Linked DNA regions of Rattus norvegicus. The protein of the gene in region 1 purifies or fractionates together with the protein of each later gene. This does not show direct contact. Links are inferred from orthologs where the notes say so. Each region holds a gene or a part of one and is shown on either strand. Other genes may lie near its edges.

What was found. The genes of interacting proteins can lie anywhere in the genome.
Region 2: the proteins of Gpatch2l (region 1) and Csnk2a2 purify together in Homo sapiens (affinity purification with mass spectrometry; 5 studies listed by BioGRID and IntAct, counting the BioPlex papers as one, with this or other methods). This does not show direct contact. The link is inferred for Rattus norvegicus from reciprocal best matches to the Homo sapiens genes GPATCH2L and CSNK2A2.

The regions. Positions count from the first base shown.
Region 1 is NC_086024.1:111,631,431-111,634,930, reverse strand, and holds part of Gpatch2l (G patch domain-containing protein 2-like), read right to left. Parts: intron 1,564-3,500; coding exon 1,387-1,563; intron 516-1,386; coding exon 436-515; intron 1-435.
Region 2 is NC_086037.1:9,593,340-9,596,839, forward strand, and holds part of Csnk2a2 (casein kinase II subunit alpha'), read left to right. Parts: intron 1-1,184; coding exon 1,185-1,333; intron 1,334-3,269; coding exon 3,270-3,346; 3' UTR 3,347-3,363; exon of another isoform or gene 3,364-3,500.

The DNA of each region.
Region 1 (3,500 bases):
TCCCTTTAAATCATTTCTAGGATAAAAAGTCACCTTAGGATAAAAAAAACTCCTGAATTCAGGAGTTGTAAAGAAGTCAGAGATTTTTAACTTATACAGTAATATAGGATTAGCCACAAGTGCAGGAAAGAGAGAGAGAGAGAGAGAGAGAGAGAGAGAGAGAGAGAGAGATCAGCCAGCAGGTTTACATACTATGGAGGCTACAAGGAATGTCTGTTTGGTCAGAACTTCTGTGTTGATAAAGTGCTTATCTTTCACATTTGTATCCATTCAAATCCCACATAATGGTCATTCACCCTTCTTAACTCCCAGAACATTCAGTTGATTCATTAACTCCAGAGAGTCCTGTGATGCCTTCAACTGTCAGTAGGGCACGCAAATCCCATGGGGACTAACACCTTCCCACAGCACTGGAGAAACCATGAGATCTGTCACCTTCCCAGCCAGCCTTCTCCGCCCCTTCCTGAGGCACCGAGCTGCAGCTCCTGGCAACCGATTCAGGCGACCATGGTATCCTGTGGAAAGAAGGCCTCAGTTACTGAAGGCACAGACTGCGTAAGCACAAACTGTGCAAGCACAGATGTTACAGCACACTGGAGCTTGACCCAGCATCGGCACAAGGTTATCTGAAAAAGACTTACTATGCCCAAATCTTTGTCCTAAGCAGTATGATGGCAGGGAAGCCACACTAAGCACCAACAGATACCAGACAATGGTTGATTGCCACCTCCCGAGAGTCCTAAATTTACAGAGCACAACAGTACTCTTCCTTGTCACACATCTTAGACAATGGCTCTGATAGTCCTGAAAGTAAAGTGACTTGGTCAAGAGCATGGAGCTAACTAAAATAGAAGGACCATCTCATTTCTATCCCCTGCCATGGGCCCTTTCTACCCTGTTCTGCTACTTTAGAACTGAAGAAAAGGAGGTATGCATCTGTGTCAAAGTACACAATGAGAGGATCATTAAAACAAATACATTTAAAGAAGTATTTTTAGACCATCCACTTAAAAATGTCATCGATTCTTGTATGTGAATGTCCTTACAAAAGCCTGCTCCTTGTCAGAGCCAAACTTTCAAGCTTCCAACAAGCACTGAAAAAGTAATGCATTGGCATTACCCTGATATGTGGCTGTGACTGATATCAGGCTCCTAACACAGCACACACTGCGGATGTGTCCCAAGAGCCTACATGGACTGACTTAGGAGAAGGAGAACTCTGAGCTTTGAGACTCACCCTTGAATCCCCTAGAACCCTAAGGAAACTGCACGATTCAGAGAGCAATGCAGGATCAGAGGTGTGCAAGAGCTTGAGCAAAGCATGCTGAGTCGTCCCATAGCGAACCATAAAGCCATGACCTGGTCTTTCATCTTCTCCAAACTCACCTCTTTGAGCTGGCCGGGAAGGTAAAAGGAATGTGGAATCTGAGAGTTTATCCAGTCCGGAGTCCATCCTTTCTACTTCAGTGCAGTGATCAGGAGCCCACTTGGGCAGAAGGTTATGGACAGTGAATCCGGGGACACATTCTCCTTCATAAAACCAATCACTCTGCTCATCATCCCCTAAAGCAAACAGATCGTGTCCTGAGCTGTCATGATAAAATCCAAATGCCAGGAGGGTTTCTCACGCCATAGTTGTGCTACTTTCAAGTAAGCCAAGGTGCAAAAGAGCCTGTCCAGTCCCTCCTGGTACGCAGTAAAATGGAAACTGAGGCATCCACCTAGTTCCTCATGGCGGACTGTTCTCACCACTAAGTAGTAAAATCTAAGCTCTAGCCTCACGCCCTTCAGAATCCATGTGGAAACCCTGCAAATAATTTACCTCTTAAAAACACACAACAGCTCCAACTTAGAGTGAGGCAATGAATGCCTGAAAGTTAGGCTTCAGCTAGTAAATGAAGTCAGAATTTGAACCCAGAACCTGACAAATGAAGCCCAAGGTATTTTCTATAAAAAACAAGCTGTCTTCCTGATCATTACCCATGGTGTAGATAATATAGTTCAAAGCTATAAATGTTCCTCACTTCAAAAAATTAGCTGTAATTGCTTGGGGGGAGTTATATAATTACATTTTATCATAATAGATCAGTAAAGAATGTATGCCAACACTTTGTTTTGGCCTTGATATATCATTGATAGGACAGAAAATAATTCTGAACTAGAAATCCAAGCTTCCAGGAAAAAAAACCAACCACAAGTAACAACAATAAACCCCCCTAGGCCTTTTCAAGAAACTATACCATTTGCCTGAACCCATGCTGTTCATAAATGGTAAGGTCCCAACTAAGCCGTACGTCCAAACTCTTGGTCCACACTTCCAACTAGCTACACTAACAGCAGCTCTGTTTCTACTACAGTGTATTCCTGCCAGCAAGACAGGTAAGAACGAGGAAGCTCCATGTCTGCTACCTCATCCTCTTTCCAGACTGCAAGGGTACCGTCAGCATCTACAGTTTATGCTGCCTTTGTCCTCTAAAATATACTGGATAGATCCCACCCCCCCCATTGACACCCAAAATAATAACGACTCTTTCAATTAATGTGGAACTTTCCAAGAGTGGCAGTAAGACCTGCATCCTGCAAACAGCAGTTAGACCAAACACTAAAGAAGCCACACTCAGGCGTCTACCGTGTCTCACTATAAGCTTCAAACAGCTGTCTTAGACATAGGCATTCCTAAGCTTCAGGAAGCACCAGAAGCACCAGAAGGGAAGTGAGGGGATGTCGACAGACAGAAAGGAAGATACATGCCAGGCGACGTACAAACTGCAGGGCCCTATCTACCAAAGTTGCTGATTCTGATTTGAACCAAATACCAGCGAGTTCCTAATGAAGCTGGGTGCGTGTGGGGAGCACAACCTGAGAACACTATTGGACAACCAGCCAGTGGTACCGGTGGATCAGCACAGGGGCTGGGAGACACGGCTAGTCTGTACAATTTGACATGTCCACTCCATTGTCATCCAGAAGCATTTCTCAGGACATGCACTTCAACAGGTAAACCCATTATGTTATGTTTTCTGACAGCAAATTAACCCAAAATTTTGGTTCTTAAAATTCACTCATGAACCAATACACATTTTTAAAAGGACTTGTAGCTGGACGTGGTAGCACACTCCTTTAATCCCAGCACTCAGGAGGCAGAGGCAGGAAGATCTATGTGAGTTCAAGGATAGCCCAGTTTACATAATGAGTTCCAGGACAGCCAGAAAGACACAGAAAAATCCTCTCTCTCAAAAACAAAAACAAAAGGGGGACAGGAGGTTTGCAATGTCTCCCTGAGCTAGAAGAGACTTTGTGAGACTACCATACAAAATCCTCATGCTTTCCTGCCATTTTGTTTCTCTCTGTGTCCGCCCAATCTAGAGATAGCCTTGGCAGTGTGACCTAATACACAGTTTTTCTTCTACCCATGGAGTAGTCTAATTTGGTGGTTTCACTGCACCATAGCTTACACTTACCCGAGTTTGTCAACTTAACAGGGCCTCTTACCTTCCAGG
Region 2 (3,500 bases), on another chromosome or scaffold:
CTTCTAAGTGCTAGGACTCCTACTAAGAAATGGAAGACAAACGGGGTTGGGGACTTAGCTCAGTGGTAGAGCGCTTGCCTAGGAAGCGCAAGGCCCTGGGTTCGGTCCCCAGCTCCGAAAAAAAAGAACCAAAAAAAAAAAAAAAAAAAAAAGAAATGGAAGACAAGCCATGTGTGGACATGGAAATCTCTAATCCTCTAATCACAACACCTGGAAGGCTGAGGCAGGAGGATCATTGAACTTGAAGCCAGCCTGACAATCATGAGATCCTGTGCAAATAAATAGAAGACAAAATCATAATGTTACAGGGGGAAAAATGTTACTCTGGTTAAAGCATGTACTTAAAATTTTTTTAAATTACTTCTTTCTGGTTTATATGTAAGCGTGTTTTATCTGTTTACGTGTACATACCATGTGTGTATTGATGACTGCAGAGTCACAATAGGGTTTTCTGAAACTGGAGTGAGGGATGGGTGTGAGCCACCATGTGATTGTCAGAAATTGAACTCTAGAGGAGCTGACGCCATTTCCCCAGCCCTGAATATATTTACTTTGGCGACAAATCTGGGAAAACTATGTTTCTTTGAATAAGAAATGAACAACTGATTTTTCTGAATTAAGTTTTACAATAAATACTAAGGATGCTGAGTTTTCAGGTACAGTAGATTGTGTGGTTTAGAGTTTTGTTTGTTTGACAAGGTCTTGCTGCACAGCCCTGGCTGGCCTCAGGCTGAGTGCTAGGATTGCAGATGTACACCACCATGGCCAGCCCCACTGCAGCATGCTATAAGGAAATGCTTGCCTGGCGTCTTCACACATTATTATAGGAAACCACTTGTTTCTAGAGCCAACTCTCTCATTCTGTCCACCAGGCTGCACTCATAGTTGGGAAAAAAACGGGCCATAAGAATAATCCAGAAAGATTGAACCAATTCTCACTCAGATGTAGAAGTTTTAAACAAATTCTGTTTATCTAATGATTGAGCAGTTTGGTGTCAGTACATCGTGGTTATAACTGGGTGTGGGGGGGTTGAAGAAGCGTCAGTTATATGAAGTGGGTGCCTCCAAGAATGAGCTTCAGCTGCTTCACACTGGTTTAAGGAGTCACTGGTGTTGGGTCTAGTAGAGGAGAATTTTTTGTGTAGTTTAGTCTCAGAATAGTAATGATACACTGTTTTTCTTAGGCATTCACGGAAGCGCTGGGAAAACTTTATCCATAGTGAGAACAGACACCTTGTCAGCCCCGAGGCCCTTGATCTTCTTGACAAGCTCCTGCGGTACGACCATCAACAGAGATTGACCGCCAAAGAGGCCATGGAGCACCCGTACTTCTGTGAGTTTTTGTTTTGTTTTTAAGAATTATTATGTATGAAAGTACACTGTAGCTATCTTCGTGCACACAAGAAGAGGTGTCAGAGCTCATTACAGATGGTTGTGAGCCATGTGGTTGCTGGAAATTGAACTCAGAACCTCTGGAAAGCAGTTGGTGGTTTTAACCTCTGAGCCATCTCTCCAGCCATTGCCCCCCATGTGCTTCTAAAGGAAGCAATGTGTGAATAAGAGGGCTCTGAGGTGAGGGAACAGGCAGGTGTGACAACTGGACTCTGACCTTTGACATCTTCCATAGAGCACACGTGCTCCTTCTGGACCTGCTTATCGTTTGAATGTTAGTAGTTCTCCCCATTGAAATTTCACACACACCTTACCCATGTACTTGAAGAGGTAGCTGAGTCTAGTCATGGAAGAGGCTGAGAGAGATGAAGTTGAGTAGACTTAGTTCTCTCTGAATCAAGATGAACTCTGTCCTGTAAGGCTTCTGTGTGTTGTTTGACTACTATGTGTTCTTTTCCTTTTTACCTCTGGAGTTAACTAATTCCTAATAATAACTAACACGAAGAATATGTTGCTACAGTTTCAAATTTACAGCAGAAGTTTAAGGACAAAAAATATACAGGGTCAGGTTGGGGATTTAGCTCAGTGGTAGCGCTTGGCAAGCGCAAGGCCCTGGGTTCGGTACCCAGCTCCGAAAAAAAGAAAAGGGAACAAAAGAAAAAGAAAAAAAAAAGAAAAAGAAAAAAATATATACAGGGTCTTCTCTTTCAGCCTTCTATGGCTGAACAGGCAACATTCAATTGTCTGCTTTCTAATTTCCAACACAGAGCTGCTTTTACCCTATGGGGTTGGCCACTGTAAGGATATTGGTATAGCCCGGAGTGGTGGCACACACCTTTAAGTCGGCCGTTCAGGAGGTAGTCAGATCTTTGAGGCCTGTCTTTAATTTAAATAGCCAGGTAATCCCAGAACTCGAGAGGCAGAGGCAGGTGGATCCCTGAGTTCAAGGCCAGTCTGAACTACAAAGTGAGTTCCAGTATAGTCAGCCAGGGCTACACACAGAAAACCTGACTCAAACAGAAACAATGAAACAGAAAACAATACTAATGTAAACTCATAAGGCACGCATATGCATGAGGACTGTACATTTGAGGCCATCTAAGGTATGTAGTGAGATCTGTCTCAGAAATAATAATGAAAACAACCTGATGAAGGTTCCATCCACATAATTCATTATTTGATTAAATAAGCTCAGTATTTGACTGCCCCTTACAGTGGCTGCCTGCCATTGGCTCTTTCATTCACCTTTTCACACATGCTTGTCACTGTATGACACTGGTACTCAAGGAAGGAATTGGTATAAATTTGAACAGTGCTAAGTTAGAATTTCTGTGCTTTTCAGCAGTTGGGTCTATATTCTAAGGGAATAGAAAAATTACCTAGAAAAAAATTCCCCGGGGTTGGGGATTTAGCTCAGTGGTAGAGTGCTTGCCTAGCAAGCGCAAGGCCCTGGGTTCAGTCCCCAGCTCCGGGGGAGGGGGGTTCCCCAGTGGGCATGAGGCCACCGTGGCTAAGCTGGAGGATCATCGGGGTGAAGAAGAGTGAGTTCAGGGCTTCTCTGAGCACCTTGTAAAACTTCATCCCAAAATCAAATGTTCAGTGGGAGGTGAGGAGGTGACTTGGTGGTAGATTGATTGCCATAGCATGTGTGAAACTGTGGGTTCTAGACCCTGCTCTGAGGGGGGAAAATAAGGAACTATTTCCTGATCCTGGCTTGGTGCCTGGTTTTGTTTTGTTTTTTTTTTTATAACCCGGGTCCCACATAAATGTGTCTGTCTTGGTACTGTGGAAAAAGAAAGGCAGTTGGCTATTATGGTGTTCTCTCTATAACCTCAGTGCTTGTGCTCATGTGGGAAACCTGTGCTCCTCTCTTGCAGACCCGGTGGTGAAGGAGCAGTCCCAGCCTTGTGCTGAGAACACCGTGCTTTCCAGTGGTCTCACCGCAGCACGATGAAGCCTGGGGAATCGACGGTAATGCGGCACTGATGCTTGCCCATAAAAACCAACCACCAAACAAAAACTTGAAGGAAACTGCAGTGTGATAAACAGAGATTCTAATCCTTCCTTCTAAAGGCAAAGAAGAGTAAAGACCTAAGTCTGTCAAAGCA